3 linked regions of the Coturnix japonica genome follow. The protein of the gene in region 1 purifies or fractionates together with the protein of each later gene. This does not show direct contact. Links are inferred from orthologs where the notes say so. Each region holds a gene or a part of one and is shown on either strand. Other genes may lie near its edges.

Region 1 (5,906 bases):
GATGTCTGCAGAACTGCAGACCGAGTGAAGTCATGCTATAAACTCAGACACCTCTGCCTTTGGTAGACATTTGCTTTTATATTTTGTACGCAACCAAAGAAACAGACATGCTGACAGGTTAGAAAGCCTGTGGCTTTCCTTGATACCTGCCTTGCCAGAAGTCTAACTACAGAAGCAGAGGAGAGACTGTGACCTATTTATCCTTAGGAACACCACATAACCTCTAACTGTTCCTTCCCTAGGAGAAAACACTTGATGTTTAAAATGCTATGTATCTGTACTGAGTTGCAAGTTCTTTACCCACTTTTTAAAGCAACCTGCCCAAGGAACAGATGGCTCAAAAACTTTTGTTGTCACCTGGTTTCAAGTGCTCAAATTGCACACACACACACACACATATATTTCTTTATATAGATATAAAGAAAAAAAGACGTGGAAAGATAGACTGGAGAAGTAATAAAGATAGTTCACTTTGAAAACGTCACAAGGCACTTAAAAACATCCTTGAAAAAAAAAGACACTATTTGTCAAATTGAATTAATTACTCAGAATAGCTTCTATTTTCTGACAAATTTGGTATTTTCACTGAAATCACTATAATTATTTCCTTTCTTTTTTCCCCCCATTTCTAGAATACACGAGCGCTGAACCATAAGAAAGTCACTTTTCTCTGCTACTTACATGAACTCAAAGAATGACACACTTTGTAAGATCTCACTAATGCTGTATGCTTTTCCCAGCACAGAAAAATTGCTCGCTTTAAAGCTCTGTGCTCAAAGGATTTTAGAGAGAAGCGTTTTTTCACTCTTATTTACAGTATTCTAATTACACTGATCAGTATTTCTTGCGGAATTTCTCATATCTTCCACATGTATTTCATTCCTTTGCAGAACTTCCTTCATAAAACACAGTAAAAAAAGTTCTCAGGCACTTGACAGAACTATTGAGAACAGAAGTAACTTTATTATTCATTCCCTCTCCTCCATTATTCATCCCTCTCGATGTGAAAGTAGGACTCACAACTGCAGCACCAGGAGTTTGCAGCAAGTTCCTGGAACACAGCCTGCTCACAATTAGCCATTGATCCAGCCGCTCGTGCCATGACAAGGGAGTGTAAACTCCCTCCTCCTTGAGGCTACAGCTCTGCAGAGAAACCCTTCAACATCACAGGCTTCCACCTCTAGATTTCTTAACTCAATAAATAGCATCAGCTCCAAGCTAAGTTCTTAAGCTGCAATGAAATAAATACACACTAAGAAAGCAGCTTTTATGGCATCACGTACCTGTTGAACTTTTCTGTATGGTGCAGATTTTGGTCTCCTCTCAGCATCCATTCTACCTGAAAACAACAGAGCCAAGTAATTTAAGGTGCACCATTACGACATATGTGCCAGGTAAGCCAACTCTGTACCAGTGTTGTATATCACAGCTTTTAATTACCATATTGCCAACCAGTGATGAAACATGCTATGCATACCATTACCATACTTCATACCTATGCAAGGCTCTATCATGCTGGTATGAGTAAAAGGCAGTAATCACATTCACATCCAGCAATGGATTTTGAAGCCTAATTTTACATCTCCTTTTTCAGCCTGGCCTCTGATTTACATCTGATGGGTACAACATGATTACTAAGAAGTCAAAACTTCCTTTCTGTGATTAACTGTGATAGTTTAGCTCTGCGTGTAACACCTCGGTTTAATACATACTACTTCATTTTTTCCTTGTTAAGAAGTCTTCCACTGGCATTAATTACGCCCACAAGGACAAAGAAGAGAAAAAAACCATATTGTTTGCCTGAGGCCTCGGGTGGAAAGAGGTTTCCCATTGCAGGGAGCTGGTGTTTTGTGACTTTAAAACTCCTCATACTGCTGACCAGAACCCATTGCTTATAAATGAAGTGTGAGCCCAAAGCGCTCCAAATGGGTAAAACAAAAAAGAGGCAGGCAAGTAATACAAAGCAGTTCCCTCCCTGACCTATATGCTTAGTGGATATGTTTATACATTTACATTCAACGGGCTCTGGAGGAAACATCCACCTTATGATATAATACATACACGTGCTTGCATTTCTAAATAGCGATGTAACATCACAGCCCCTGGGGAACCTCACGTTCATTCCTTACCAACCAAATCTGGTTTCTGGCAGCCTGTTTGGCAGCCCCAGTTTCCTCGCAGGGCTGAACTCACTGCTGCCTGGCTCTGGGCCGTTCCCTCTCGAGGTGCAGAGTGTGCACAGAGCCGGGAAGCACGAGGCAGGATGGCAGCACCCGCCGCGCACGAGGCGGGCCCGGGGCCGAGCTCAGCCCATCGCGGCGTCCCGCCGCACTTCCCAGCCTCGCCCGTCGACCCGCCCTCTCGCTGCGGGGCCAATGGCGGCCCGGCCGGGTGCGGCGGCGGCCAATCGGCGTTATCCCGGCGGGCTCCCCGGCAAAATGGCGGCGTCGGTGTGGACGCGGTGCTTCCGTAGCGCTTGCCATGCCCGGTAGCCGGCGGAGGGAGCCCTGCCGCAGGCTCACGGCCCCGCGGGGGCGGAGCGGCGCCGAGGACAGGGTCGGCCGGCGGTGGCGGCCAGCGGAGTGCCCCGCGGAGGAAGAGGCGGCCGGCGGCGGCGCGGAGGGCGGTGTGGGCCGCGGCCCGCTCGTGAGGGTGGCGCCCGGGCCGTCGCCGTGTCGGGAGGCGGCGGTGCGCGGTGCGGCAGGTACGGCGGGAGCGGACCCCGCTCTGCCCGCCCGGGTGCGCGGGGAAGGGGCTGCAGGTGCCCGGCGAGCAGCTCCCTGAGGAGAACAGACCCCTGAGGAGAGGCCCGGCAGCGTAAAGCGGCTCACTGGGCGCTCCTCGCGTTAGGAATGGCATATCCTAGAACTTATGCAGGCTCACGCGGCGGTTCCGTGCTTGAAAGGCAGAGCGAGCAGCTGAGACGGCTGGGAGCTGTTGTGCGCAGCTGTGTCCTTGTTATCAGCCCCACCTGGAGAGGCGCAGTGCAGGGAGTTGTGGCCCACAGCCTTTGAGGGGCCTGTGGGAGTTTTAATCCAGACCAGTCTGAGTGTGAGACACAGAGCGAGGCAGAGCACAAAACATTCTCCCCTGTGGATCTGTGTAGGGTTTCATTAACACACTGAAGTTAGTATATTCCGTCTGGTAAGAAGACAGGCAGTCCTCATACTTAATGTTAGATGCTGGGCATCCAGCTGTCGGCATGCTGTCATCTCTGTGTGATGTCACCACCTTGTCCTGCATTAACTGCAGTGGAAAGAACCTATCCTGTGTATAAAGAACCTCGATGACAGTGAGCTTTGTTTTGATTCTTCCTAAAGCATCTTCTCTGTGCCTCACCCTGGTTCTGAGTTCCTCAGATTCCTAGATTCTGAGTTTGTTCACCTTTGTGTTTGCTGTTGTTTAATAAGGATCACCTTTCTGTTTACACAGAGCCATGTTTACACAAAACTCCAAAGAGATCACTGAGTAGGAAATCCAGAATACCAACCTTCAGCTCACCGGTTAATGACACTGATATACAGCAAGAAATCTTTTGGGATCCTCATTCACCAATTGCACATGGACTAGGTAATATTAACAAAATTCAGACTTCAGGGGGCCCGCCAAGGGAATGCAATTGCAGTGTATTAGAAGAAGGGGGCAGATTCTTCAGCAGGGTCTCTTGTGATAGAACAAGGGGAAATAGTTTCAGACTAACATGTGGGTGATTCAGACTGGACATAAGGAAGGTTTTTACAGTAAGAGTGGAGGCTGCCCCATCCCTGGAGACATTCAAGCTAAGGCTGGACTGGACTCTGAGCACCTGATGGTGCTGTTGATTTCCCTGTTTATTGCAGGGGGTTGGACTACATGACCCTTTAAGATCCCTTCCGACTCAAATGATTCTGTCACAAAAGTCACTACATTTATTGGAAAAATGCCCCTTCTTGTTTATCATGACAGTACCTGGTGAGTCCGGAGGTGATCGGTTTGATTTTACTTTTATTAAAATCCCATAAATTCCTCATCATAGTGTTATATCAAGTTCTGACTTCATCGAGTGTAATTTGAGCAATAATGAATTTTATAAATTGTAACGTTTTGCCATTTTTTAAAGTTTTTTTAATTATTATTTTCTTAGGCAAAGGAAAAACCAAACAGCCCACCAGTAGATGTGCAGTAGAGATTTCAGAAATTGTTAATAGGATTGCTCCTCAGGTAATGGTTACTTTCTAAAACAATGTTCTGTATGTGCAGTGCTGAAACAGAACAGTGCTACATTATTCAGTTTTACTGAAAGCTCTCTTTTAGTTACAGTAGTCTAACATACATGGCAAGAAGCAAGTATGCAGATAACTAGAAACATGCTTATAAAACTGGGTTGAACTATAATCATAAGCTCAACATTTGACTCTTAAAAAAACAAGATGTATGAAGAAAGTGGACTAGTTGCAGCTGCATTTAGGAATTTCTACTTGCAGAATGCAGCTTATTGCCCCTGATCTTAGGAGATTTATTGTGGTTTACTTATCCTTAATCACTTGTACATTAAAAGGTATAATTTTTTCACATACTGGATTTACTTGGCAACATCTGACTCAGATATCTAAGAGAGACTGCACAAGGATATAAACACAGTAAAGCTGCATCATTATTCTCAGTAATTTGCATTTCTTACCCTAAGGTCCACACTCTTGACATCTCTTTCTGGCTCTGAAACTGACATCTACAGCCTGCAAAATGAAAACAACATAGTCTTTTAATAGGAGTCTTATTGTTTGCATTTTACTAGATGTAAGAAGAGAACTTGTCACTCCTAACACAGTCTGTAGAATGTGGCTTGCCAAAAATGCCAACTTATTTGACAGAGCCATTTAAATGTATTTGCTGTATTGAATATTTGTGAGAAAGCAGAATTAGAAAATCACCGATAAGGGATGTCACTTCCTTTTAAATGATTATAGTCCTATAATGACTATAAATAGCATCATACTGGGTTTGCTAATATCTATTGCTTGTGTTCTTTTATCTTGAAAAATAAAACATACTCAGAACTACCCCGGTAGTCAGTGAAGTTCAACTTACCTTTGTTGGCTTACATGCAGTAATTTCTTGCATTCAGTGTTTGGCTCTAGCCCTGTACTCACTGTACTGCTGCAGTCGTGTATCTCTTAGATTTAGGAATTAAGAGCCCAGCCTGAATGTTGAAGCTGTAAAACAAGCTCATTCAGTTTCTAAACATATTTTATTTCTGTTTTAATGCTCCTTCAACGTAAGAGTTGTAATGGAAGAAGTCAGATTTATTTTTCCAGGGGCCATGCAAAAATATGATGTTTCAAATTCACTGATCTGTTAATGCTGCTGTAAGTGCATAAAGATAAGGGTATCTCAAGTAGCTCCTTACCTGTGCACTAAAGTAAATAAACTAAATCACAGCTTGTAGTGTGAATATTGCTGATTATTCCTAAACCCTATTGGGGATGTGAATATAGTGTTAGATTTGAGCACCAAACTAAAATTCAATTGTTTTAATTGAACTTCCTGCTTTAAACTGATACAATTAAACTGATACAACTGTCAGTTGACATTGTTGGAGTATTCTTGATTAGCTTGTATTGGTTTAGTTCCTATCCTTAGCTTTCAATAGATTTGACCCTATTTAATTGGTTTAGTAACTTTAACTAATGGAAGGTGTGTGTTTAGTCAAATCTTTATCTGAAATCAAGTTGCTAAGCATTATAAATCTAATCATCCAGGATGAAAAAGCAGCCTGTAATGAAGGCTCCCTTCTAGGGACATGGATTGGTGACGATGCCATTCCCTGCACACCTGGAGTAGTAAAAGTGCGAGCTAGGACAAAGTTTTGTTGTACAAGGTAAGTCAGAGTTTTGCCTTGCCCACTGTAGCTGGGTTTTCATGTAAAA
Region 2 (5,906 bases), on another chromosome or scaffold:
GCCACACTGAGTGCGGATATAACACTGCAAAGACCCCTCCCTATGGATGCCATGGGGCTCCTCAGGGCAAAACACCCCCCAGATACGTCTTTACAGAGCAGTCAATGAGCTCTCACTGTTGTAACACTTCTCCCCTCACTGCTAAGATGGATTCAATAGAACTTGTGCAGTATTCTACCTAAATGAGCAATAAGAGAAACATTTATTTTCCTCCCTCCTGAGTGTGTTAACAACAGTGTGTCACACACCTCAATTCAGACACACCTCAACCCACACAACAGCTGAGAAGAGGACAAATAAGTCAAGACCTTTTCTGGGCCTTCCCCAGTTCTCTCATTGCTCCACACAGATTAAACCTTCCCATCCAAACCTGCACTTCTCTCCCCTTCCCATCCCCTCCCATCCTACCTGGAAATACCTGTTTGATCAGCGAGGTCAGGTTTGCGATGATGTGCAGAACCTTCTCTTCTCCGAGCTGCTCATCAGGGACATGAGGAGTATCATCCCTGGAACAGCAGATAGAACATAGACGTTACTTGTGACTATCAAGGCACGTGGGCAGAGCAAGGCACTGAACGTGCACCTGAGCCTTGTTTTCTTCCTTATCTCATAGGAGATAAAGTCAAGGTCTTTGGGGTAGGAACTTGCACTGTGCACATGGGCTGAAGCAGAGAAGCAGGAGGAAATGGCTCCAAGTGGAAAGCTGCTCCGTTTGGTTCTACTTTATATGTGGGCACTAGAAGCAGGTTTATCCCATTTCAGCACATTTATCCCATTCCAACGTGTTTAATAGATGCTACAGCTGAGTGGGGCATCACGCAAGAGAATATAATGCAACCTGGGGTCAGAACTGGATAACAGCAGGGAAGCAAAAGCTGCCTGCGTTCAATAGAATGAAACAGAATTGAAAAGGAACCCAATGAATGCTCCAAGTAAGGTGAGGATTTAACATGGCTACAGCCCATGGCAATAGACAGGAGGCATTTAACAGCTAAAGCCCACGGCAATAGATAGGGGGCATTTAACACAGCTAAAGCTGAGTCTATGGTAATAGACAGGAGGCATTTGACACAGCTACAGCCCATAGCAATAGATAGGGGGCATTTAATACAGCTAAAGCTGAGTCCATGGTAATAGATAGGAGGCATTTAATGCAGCTAAAGCCTATGGCAATGGATAGGGGGCATTTAACACAGCTAAAGCCCACAGCAATAGATAGAAGGCATTTAACACAGCTACAGCCCATAGTAATAGATAGGGGGCATTTAACACAGCTAAAGCTGAGTCCATGTAACAGACAGGAGGCATTTAATACATCTAAAGCCCACGGCAATGGATAGGGGGCATTTAACACAGCTACAGCCCATAGCAATAGATAGGGGCCATCACTTTGGGACTCAGCCCGCAGGGACTCAATACAATCGGTGCTGTTTCCTCACCCCGTCCATAGCACAAAGTCCGGCCGTGCCCGCAGCCGTTTCATGGCGCTCACAGCGGAGCTGAGCAGCGCCCAGGGCGCATCACATTCGTAGCTGCCCCACGGTCCCCCCGGTCCGGATCCCCCCGACGGGCAGCGCTGCCCGGCCGACAGCGCCTCCTCGTAACCGGGATCCCAGTGTAGGTCCGTCAGGTGCCAGAATGTCCCCGCCATCACCGCCGGCTGCAGCAGCACCAGCAGCGCGGCCGCCCGCACCGTCACCGCCTCCATCATTGAACCTTCACCTGCACGGCCCGCCCCGTCGGGGCACAGAGCCGGGCAGCGCCAGCAACCAACATGGCGGCGTCGGCATCAGCACCGCCGGAAGAAGGAGGGATGTGATTGGATCTTAGCGCTGGAAGAAAGAGAGAGGTGATTGGATCTCGCTATCGGAAGCTGGCGGAAGACGGAGGGCTGTGATTGGCTCCTGGTAGCGGGGCGCGGGACGCGGTGCTGGAGGAGCGGGTGGCTCCGCAGTCGGTGCTGAGGCGCCATGTGGGGCGGACACGGTGCGGGACGGGCGGGTGTGGGGGGATGTGGGGTGTGGGGTGTGAGATGGGTCTGCGCAGCTCACGGCTCCGATCATCCCTTCACAGGTAACTTCGATGGCGGTTACGGCCCCGCGGGGGGATACACGCAGTCACCGGGAGGATTCAGTTCACCAGCGGGCGGGCAGGCCGAGAAGAAGCAGGTAGGGCTGGGCTATGGGGCTGGGCTATGGGGCTGGTTATGGGGCTGGGCTATGGGGCTGGGCTATGGGGCTGTGGGGCTGGGTTGTGGGGCTGTGGGGCCGGGCTGTGGGGCTGTGGGGGCCGGGCTGTGGGGCCCGGGCTGTGGGGCTGTGGGGCCCATCACGTCCCCCTTCACCCCCCCCCACAGCGCAGCCGCTCGCAGAGCATCGTGCCCTGCACCGTGTCGCAGCTGCTGGCAGCCGAGCAGGTGGACGAGGCGTTCCGTATCCATGACGTGGAGATCTCGCAGGTGGGCACCCCCTATAGTCCCACACCCCCGTATAGTCCCACACCCCCTATAACCCCACACCCCTCTCCCATTAAGCTGGTTCTGATGGGCCGCTGGTGTCTCACCCCGCCCCCTGACCGCCCTCCCCCCGCAGGTCACCGTGGTGGGCATCGTTCGACACGCAGAGAAGGCGCCCACCAACATCCTGTACAAGGTGGATGACATGACAGCGGCACCCATGGACGTGAGGCAGTGGGTTGACACCGATGTAAGCAATGGAACCGTCCTGAGGTGCTGCTATGGGGGTAAAACAGTGTGTGAGCTGCATCAATGGATGTCCCTGTTAGAGCCAGGCTGGGTGCTGCGGTAACAGTGATCAGTTGGCAGTGAATGTGGCTGGAGATGAACAGCTGCACTGAGCTGAACAACTGGAAGTAATTAAAGAGATTCTCAGTTGGTTTATCTACAGGTTTGCCATAAGATCCTGTGACTGCTCCCAGAATGCACAGCTGGCACTGATTGCTGTCAAGCCGACAGTGCATCCAAATAAGGATTTCCCATCTGTAGCTACATTTACCTGACTGCTTGTACTGATTGAATGGGTGTCGTTTGTGTTTGATTGAGATAGCAGTCCTAAAGTTGTTTAGTATGATAACTGAGAGATGGATCAGCAGCTCTTTGCTTTCTCCTTTCTCTGTAAGGAGGCAGGTAGTGAGAATATCGTGGTGCCCCCAGGAACTTACGTCAAAGTTGCTGGTCATCTTCGGTCTTTTCAGGTAAGGTCATGTGCGACTCCACAACAAACAAGGCTGGGGCAGCAGCATAAAGGGTTGGTGATGTGGCAGAGCAGGAACAATAATCACAGCATGTTATATAGGAGTCAACTCATAGCAGTCATCCTTGAGATCATGCTGTATGTGTTAAAGCAAAGAGCAATTGCCAGCTGGATCAAAACTTGCCCAGACATGGGCATTTAAGTTGAAAACCTTTGCTAACTAAAGGCAGATGGACTCCCCACCCGCTGCTGCTCCTGTTCCTAACTAGAGTGCTTAAGTTCTATGGCAACCATGTTCCTGTTGCTCCCCTGTTAATGGTATTTGCTGTCTTTTCTCTGGAAGAACAAGAAGAGTTTGGTGGCGTTTAAGATCATGCCTCTGGAAAACATGAACGAGGTCACCACGCACATACTTGAGACTGTTAATGCGCATATGATCCTCAGGAAGAACCTTATGGTGTGTAGTTGAAGGTCATGGTTCCATTACAGCTGTTACTGGTGATCTAAAGGGAGGGACCTCTGGGTTCAGTGGGAAACTGTGCAAGTTGTGGGTCTGGAAAGGCTGAAGGGCTGCAATGGGGTGTGATGAGAGTCTTGATTTCCATTGAGAGACATTCTCATTGCGGCCAGTTTTACTTGGTTTCTGTTGGAAATCTATCTTTAATTATTATGCCTCTGAAAGAAGGCTAAGTCCTTCATGTCCTTCATGCCTTGGGTTTGCAGCAGCCTGTGCACAACAGTTCTTTTATTCAATTACTCTTGTAATTGCAGTCAGCATCAAGAGCACCTCAGTCGTTTACCTCTGTTGGAATGAGTGACGTGGGGGCCTATGGTGGAGGCAGCCTGCCTGTCAATGGACTCACAGCACATCAGAGTCAGGTGGGTGCCAGCACCTTCTCCAGAGCACAGCTGACACAGTGGGTGCTGCTGCTTTGTGTTGTAGGACCAAGAAATAAAAGCTCAGTTATTCTTGGAAGGCTGATAATCCTTTTTTGGCCCCGCTGTTCAGTGCTGATAGAGCTGAGCTGTGTGCTGATGATGGTTCACGTTCTTCCAGGTGCTGAACCTGATTAAAAACTGCCATTCTCCAGACGGGATGAGTCTCCAAGAGCTGAAACTTCAGCTCCACAATGTCAGCATACCAACAATCAAGTAAGTGTGTAGAAGCTGATGTTTTTGGGGGCGTCAGGTCCCACGTAGGTGGGAAATGGTTGAGAGGAAGGCATTGATGTGAGCCAGGTACTAATGGACTTCTTTCCTTCCAAGGCAAGCAGTTGAATTCCTTAGCAGCGAGGGACACATCTACTCTACTGTGGATGATGATCACTATAAGTCTACGGATGCTGACTGAAGCTCTTTCCACCTGGATTTGCTCCCAGCCAAGTGCTTCTCGGTGTCTCGAATTAACCTGCTGAGCTTTGCAACTTGGAAGGTGATGTTTGCTTTCTAACATGTGCAAGTCCCACTTATTCAGTGATTCCCCACACCCCGAAATTCAAGGACAATGTAGCCAAGAGAAACGTTCTGTTAATGTACAGTAATCATGACTGGATTTATAATTAGTTTGTGCACTTAAATCTATATTTGTACTACGAGGTGGTCTTGTTACTATGGCTTTTGAATACTATTTTCATTAAAATGTAAACTAGGGTGGTCTTAAGCTTCTGTGGCTCTGGAGGCTTTTGCTCCTTGCTAAAGAAGGAAAGCATTTGCCATTAGAACTCAGCTGTGTGGGTACAAACAGCCTGTGCCGTCACAGGATTGGGTTGTCTGTACTTAATATTTGCTTAAGCTTTTGAAATGAGTTGTTTCAAGGGGTCGAATGGATAAGAACGAACAGCTGGATATGAAGACGTGAATGATTCTAATGAAAGAAGCTGCAGGTTGTATCTGGGATCCACCTGGAGTCAGGATCATCGCTGCCAATAGGAATAAAGGACAGAGCATTGTGGATATTGGTGATGCAGCAGGGAGGAGGTGATGAGTTTTGTTTCCTCTTTCTCTACCTGGCCTTGCTTTGCTCACAGAGGCAGCATCCTGAAGATGGCTCCTGCACTGTGTCTGTTCTCACTTGATTTCCTGTAGTAGAAAATGCAGAACTGAAAGCTGCCTGCTGGGAATCGACAACCGCAGCAGTTTGTGAGCTTCGTAAATATTCAGAATCACTTAACGACCCTGTGAGGAGCCCAGCTGTTCTCCATAGACCGAGTGTGGTTTCTGTGGTGAGTGTTTAGCATTGCTAAGAGGCAGGACATAGGATTGTTGGAGCAGTCAATGGATGGGAGCCCTGTTTGCTGCACTGTGCTGGTCTGCTCGTAAAGAGCTGGTTCCTATTTTCTCCTTAGCACAGGACCTACTGGAGGAAGCTTGTTCCTCCCTGCTTATCAGCTGTGTGAGTGGCTTTCCACAAGAGCTGCACACTATGGCTTTCAGCACAGATTTTTATCTTGTCTGAGAGGAGGAACAACACAAATCTGAACCCAAAGCTGCACAATGAGAGAGAAAATAAAAGCCCAAACAGCAGTTGGCTGATAAATGGAACTTAAAGGTTTATTTTCCAGCTCTGATTTGTACCTGCTTGTGGTCTACAGCAGCTGGGACTGGAAATTACCCCGTGTTGGTGCTTCTCGTGGTGTCTCCTATCAAGTTCCCAGGATGGTTGCCCCACTGTACGCTGCTCTGGTGCAACTGGAG
Region 3 (5,906 bases), on another chromosome or scaffold:
TTGTAAAAATGGTTCTCCACAGAGTTCCAGTTCTTCAGTATCCATTTCAAGTGCTGAATGTAGAATTCCAAAAAAGACTGTGAAGAAAACACTGGCCAGCTGTTCCGGAGGTCCTCCCAAATGAATTAATCTTAATAAAAACTTCATTGCCAAAGCTTTAACTTTTGGACAACCATACTCCAACAGGGAGCAACCTATTCCCCAGAGAACAGTATCCTGTCTTACAAAATATACATCTGCAACAATATCCATCAGGACAGACAACAACAAAACTTCCAGGCATTCTACATTGGGCATACCCATCAGGTGTAATGGTGCTAATCTTAAATATCCCACATTGTCACTAGCATTGCTTGAAAATCTCTTTACAGACACTGGCCATACCAGCACATCTCCCCAGAGTTGTTTTCTTGTGTCTCTTTCATGCAGGAAGATTAAATCTTGGAAAAGTTGTAGCAAGTCTTTTGTTAATATTTCAAAGATGGAGCAATTTTTCATTTTAAACAGAAAAAGTAAAGAGCAAATGACATCAGAGATGTTCTTGTGCAGTGTGATACAGTTTGGAGTCGCAGCAATCCGGAGAAGTCTTGTTATGATCCAATTGCTAAATTCTAGGGCAATAAAAAGAAACAGTACACAGAAAATTATTAAGATGAAAGCCAAAGCCTCTTAATAAAAGAGTACCTCCTTGAGAGCAAAGTTGCTCATCGCAAAATAAATAAACACAGTGGTGAAATAAAGGAATCTAAGCTTAGCAAGCATAAAGCATTTCTTCAATATGAGACCTTGCTGATAAAGGGGCAAGAAAAAAAAAAGAAGATGAATTATATAAATACAACGTCAAGCTCACCAATGCAATTGGATTCTGTTTCCTCTTGACTTCCATCGACATTTACAAACATAAGGGGGGAAGATTTCATGATATGTTGAATAAAATCCAGCAGCATTACAGAACTTGGCTGTGAATCTGATTTCTTAACGAGTTCCAAAGCAACTTAAAACAAACAAACAAAATAATTCTGAATTAATATTACAATGAAATCAACTTCCATAATTTTGGCCGTATCTAAAACAAGGAAATCATAAATTTTCTGTATGTAATATTATGATACAGTATCAAACTTGTATAGCAAGAAGTTCTAAGTATGCCTTATTATTCAATGAAAAAGATTTTAAGGTTATTTTAAATCCTGTACAGGAAGCCAAAAAGTATGAGGAAAAATATAAAATTATTCTGCACATTATCTGCTGACACTATAACCATTAATTCAGTACTATATCTAGTTCTTATTGAAAGATAGCAGAAAGATAGCATTTTAATTTTCAATTGGTTCTCCCTAGATCTATGACCTAGGACACGAATTAAGCATTGTTTACAAAGCTGCAAGTGATAGTTCAATTGTAAGCTTTCAGAATCAAAGAATCTGAAGTGCTGCTATACTATATCTCTTAAAACAGATAACTGAATCACTTCAGTTACCCAGTTTTCACACAATTACACAAAGAGCACAAGGAGAAAACTATCTGAAATTTAGATAGGAATTAAGGAAAAGCTACATAGTAAAGATAAAATACTTGCATGCACAAAAGCAATACCTAAAATAGTCTGGATTTTCATTTTTATTCTCTCTCAGGAACAGAAAAGAATTAACAAATATCTGAACAGTAACATAACAGTACTTAAAATGATCACTTCACTAGATGAAATACATCTTAGGGGGATGGCTACATGAAAACATCCCTCAGAAACAGTGTATAATAAATATTTCTGTATATATGTAATATTATAAAATACAATTTAATATAGATATTAAAGATTACTTTACAATGAGTCTCCCTACAGTAAATGTACAAATAATTCTAAGTGCCAGACTTCTGGAGCCTATATTTCACAATTAATCAAGATACTGTTAAACTACTGCAATAATTAGAACCTTAACTTGATTACTGATGACTGATTACCACCCTAAAATTAAAAATCAAGGTTTTTACATCAAAGTGTTGCAATTCTTGAAGGCCTCGTGAATATTAAGATTTACAAGCTACATCACTCAATGAGCAATCACTTCAGATAAAAAGAATTCTGAGTGTTCATATTCACTTTATTTTTTACAATTATAAATTTGTAGTTTATAATGTATATTATTTATAGTAATAATATAGATTTGTCTTATTTCATAGCAAGTACTTAAACAAGGAAGTTATTAAGAAATGAAGATATAAACATTACTGCATTCGAGTGCTAATCTCTGTTGAAATGAGTTGTAACTTGGGTCTGTGTTGAATTACTTAAAACATACATTGGATTACCATTTGAGATACCAGACATGCAATACTCACCCACATCTACATCTGTCAGGATTCTGTCAATGAACTGGCAGAGTATTTGTCTTGGTTTCTGAACAACTGCATTGTATTCTTCCGGACTAGCACTAAAATTAAAAGCATGATATTTTACCTGTTTTAAAATACAGAATAATTCATGTCCATCTCAACAACACACCATTAAACTCCAAGATGGTTCATTTTTTTCAAGAAGTTTCCAAAAAAGAAATGCCACTGTTTTTCTTGTTTTAGTGACCAGTGTATTTCAAGCTCTTCTCTTCCCTACTTTTCCTAGGTAGAAAGCTGTATGAAATGCTGAAAGCCATTTACTTTTGTTATGCAATTATGTTTGACATACTTTACACACAATTCTGATCTATTAAGGTCACACACTACATCAAAGCAAAACAGATTTAGTGTAGAAAAATAAAATTAAAAGCCTGTTTTGCTTTTGGAATTAACAAATTATTCAGCAGACCAACAACAGGTATACAGGGTAAGAGGTGCCAGCAGCACCTCAGGTGACTGAGATGTAAGTACCTTCATTAGGTCAAAATGTCACAGTATATTCACATCTCCATGTCACCTAGTTGTCTAGCACTGAACAAAGCTGCAGTCCTGATGGTGCCATTAAAACTCCAGAGACAAACATTAATTCTCTCTACACAGATGGAGGAGATACAGAACCTGGGTGTCAAAAGCTCCTATATTGCTTTCACCTTAACCTAGAGCAGCCTCAGTCAGCTGAGCCAGACAACAGCAATTTCCCATCTGTGAGAACGTGTGTAGTACATGACTGCAGTACCTCGAAGCCTCAAGTACATACATTCATTCCATCTTATACAATGCAGATTGCAGAGCAGGGACCACGAATAGCTCCAGAGAAGCCACATTGGTAGGATGCCTAGCACACTGCTGAGTAACTTGCATGCCCATCAAGCACTATAATCAATCTATCTTTCCTAGAAACTGAACAACAGTGAACCAAAGTAGCGACTTGCAAATGTTCTACCAATACACCACAGACCAATTTTGCTTAGTGCACTGCCTTACGAAGCAAGGAATGCAAGCTTCGGCTCTTCCCCTCTCCCCCCCTTGGTATCTGTGCTGCTTCCCAGTCAGCAAAGCCCCGCTGTGAGCAGCACGGGATGTTGGACCCCGACAAACCCCATCTCTGGATTATAGAGTTTGATTCCGCAGGTCATCGCCGCTGCCCCCAGGCACGGCCCGGGATGGAGCAGTGCCCCATGCAGGCAGCGGGGCGAAGACACCACAGGAGGAAGACGCGGGTTCAGCCCCAGAGCCCTCACAGAGGTGGGGAAGAGCCCTACCCGCCCCAGAACCGGGCCTATCCCCGGAGCTCCCCGCCGGGCTGAGCCTACCTAGCGAGCTCCCGCAGCGCCGGGATCATGGAGGCCATCTCCAGGCCCTGCTCGGCCATGGCTGCGGCTTTCAACCGCGCCGCCGAGGCGGGAACTGCGGGACCCGCGGGACGGCGGCCGGCAGGGCCCAAACAACCTCCGACAAACTTCCCCGCGCCACCCCGCGGCTCTGCCGCGTTTAACCGCTTCGTCCCCAGGCTGCGCCCCGCCACCACAAGGGCTCGACCAGGCTGCCCGCGGCACCGCCACCCTCAATGCACGGATCCCTGCGGCACAGCCCACCGCAATCTGCCACAACGCGGCACCAGCCCCACACCCCGCATCCCTCAGGCGGGAGGTGCCCGGCAGGCCCCGCCCCTCGCCGCTCCATTGGCCGCCCTGGGCAGCAGGTGGTTTGTGCTGCGGGAGCCGGAGCTGTCGGTGAGTAGCGGCTCGTTCGTCTGGTGCGTAGGAGCGGCTGCCGGTCCGGTACTTATCATCGCTCCGGTACTCATCGCTCCTGACGACAGCGGCGGGGGGTGCGTGTAAGATGCTGTTATCTTTTATTTCCAGCGTTCGTTACTCTCTCTATACGGCCCTTTGAGAGCGGTTCGGTATTTGGGTTTGCGAGCCCCCGCTGTGTTCTGTGGGGCTGCGAGGAGGGCGGCCCGAGAGGACTCGGGATGAGCCCCGTCCTTCCCTGCGGGCTGTTCCCGTCCGCCGTGTGTGTGTCAGCCCAGCACTTCGATGCTTTGGGGCTGAAATTAAATCCTCTCAGAGGGTTCTGGTTCTGCTGCCAGTTTGCACTGGGACGTGGCCGAATCTTGCGTGTGAAAGGGCTTGGGAAACTGTCTGTGTGTGTCGTGGTTGTGTTTCTTTACTGATGGGTGTCTTTAGGGCACCTGTTGCTGATGAACTTTCTCTTCAATAAGTAGTTTTTAACCTGAAAAACACACGTTAGCTATTTCATAAAACTAGTCTGATGATGCTTCTAAGGCAGCTAACAAAAGGAGGATCTGTTTGGAGTGCTTTAAGAAACTTAACAGAATGTATTTGAGTTTTATCTTTGTTTTCTAATGAATATTTCCAACAAGTATTTTTGTCTTCATAAACTTCTGAGAGCTTTCTGGGGGCAGTTGGTGGCCAGGAAGCAAATGCTCCACAGCTGTGTGTGCTCTGGTAAAGGAGCTGTGGTGGCTCAGGAGGACCCGGCATGTCTGGGTTTTAGTGCTGGTTTTATTTAGAACCCAGTGTTTCCTATTCAGTTTAAATAAGAAGCCTTGTGTTGTTACCCTGAAAGTAGCTTTCTGATTAGCAGCTTCTAAGTTTGAGACAGCGGTGGTGTGAAGAAAGGTGTGACCGCTTCTTAAGGTGCAGTGCTTCTTAATTTGCCAAATTAAATCCCATTGATACCATAGCTGATAAGCTTGAGGAGGATAGTAAGGTGCCTGTTAGGTTTGTAGAGGAACCTGAGCAGGGTATGTTTCTTCAGATTTAAATCCAAAGAGACAATATGATACGCTTATTAAACTATATAGGTACATTTCTCTGTTTGTAAAGCATAATTTGGGTATGTGCGGTGCTTAATGGGAAAACTAAAAGTACATTTGTCTTCAAGTGTTCCAGGTTGTCAGTGAGATCTTACTAATAAAGGTACTGTGACAGCATTTCCATTTGTCATAGGTAGAATGCTGTATAAATTCATGGTGCAGTTTCTTTAAGCACTTACCAAAGTGGTAATTCAGGCTTCTTTCTTCCCAGTCGCAGTAAGTACTCAACAATTCCCTACAGAGAAATCTGTTTCTCATCTGTCATTGGAGTGGGTCTGAGAGGTTTTGCTGGTTCCCTGTTGCAAAGCTCCATCGGCTGCTTCCTGACAAATATTGTCAAGTTTCTCCTGACTGACTTGTTGTGTGCACTAGAGAGTCTTATAGGACCCACTGTGTTGTGCTGTAAAGATGTAAGAAGTCTTCTGGGTGCACCCCATGAGATACTCTGCTAGATCATAGCATAACCTAGCAATCTTCAACCCTCTGAACACTAAACCTTCCTCTTTGCTTTGCTGGAGCGCACAGCGAGAAACTCAAACTCTTAATTCATCTTCATTATCCCATTATTTTATGGTACTTACATTGCCTTTGCTCTCAGGAGAAGTGGAAGGTTTTTTGTTTTGTTTTTTTTCCAGCAGCAGGGTGACTCACTGCTATTGAAAGCAGTGTG

The links.
Region 2: the proteins of ETAA1 (region 1) and RPA2 purify together in Homo sapiens (affinity purification with western blotting; 4 studies listed by BioGRID, with this or other methods). This does not show direct contact. The link is inferred for Coturnix japonica from reciprocal best matches to the Homo sapiens genes ETAA1 and RPA2.
Region 3: the proteins of ETAA1 (region 1) and ATR purify together in Homo sapiens (affinity purification with western blotting; 3 studies listed by BioGRID, with this or other methods). This does not show direct contact. The link is inferred for Coturnix japonica from reciprocal best matches to the Homo sapiens genes ETAA1 and ATR.

Annotation. Positions count from the first base shown.
Region 1 is NC_029518.1:640,601-646,506, reverse strand, and holds the start of ETAA1 (ewing's tumor-associated antigen 1), read left to right. Parts: upstream 1-2,409; 5' UTR 2,410-2,481; coding exon 2,482-2,704; intron 2,705-3,432; coding exon 3,433-3,570; intron 3,571-4,123; coding exon 4,124-4,200; intron 4,201-5,738; coding exon 5,739-5,857; intron 5,858-5,906. UniProt on the Homo sapiens protein: Replication stress response protein that accumulates at DNA damage sites and promotes replication fork progression and integrity.
Region 2 is NC_029538.1:1,358,093-1,363,998, reverse strand, and holds RPA2 (replication protein A 32 kDa subunit), read left to right. Parts: upstream 1-1,858; 5' UTR 1,859-1,970; coding exon 1,971-1,986; intron 1,987-2,073; coding exon 2,074-2,168; intron 2,169-2,356; coding exon 2,357-2,458; intron 2,459-2,591; coding exon 2,592-2,705; intron 2,706-3,138; coding exon 3,139-3,213; intron 3,214-3,555; coding exon 3,556-3,669; intron 3,670-3,983; coding exon 3,984-4,091; intron 4,092-4,269; coding exon 4,270-4,364; intron 4,365-4,478; coding exon 4,479-4,563; 3' UTR 4,564-4,872; downstream 4,873-5,906. Other genes in the region: SMPDL3B (acid sphingomyelinase-like phosphodiesterase 3b), read right to left, coding at 409-506, 1,440-1,711. UniProt on the Homo sapiens protein: As part of the heterotrimeric replication protein A complex (RPA/RP-A), binds and stabilizes single-stranded DNA intermediates that form during DNA replication or upon DNA stress.
Region 3 is NC_029524.1:8,881,991-8,887,896, forward strand, and holds the start of ATR (serine/threonine-protein kinase ATR), read right to left. Parts: upstream 4,019-5,906; 5' UTR 3,767-4,018; coding exon 3,708-3,766; intron 2,433-3,707; coding exon 2,341-2,432; intron 995-2,340; coding exon 851-994; intron 612-850; coding exon 1-611. UniProt on the Homo sapiens protein: Serine/threonine protein kinase which activates checkpoint signaling upon genotoxic stresses such as ionizing radiation (IR), ultraviolet light (UV), or DNA replication stalling, thereby acting as a DNA damage sensor.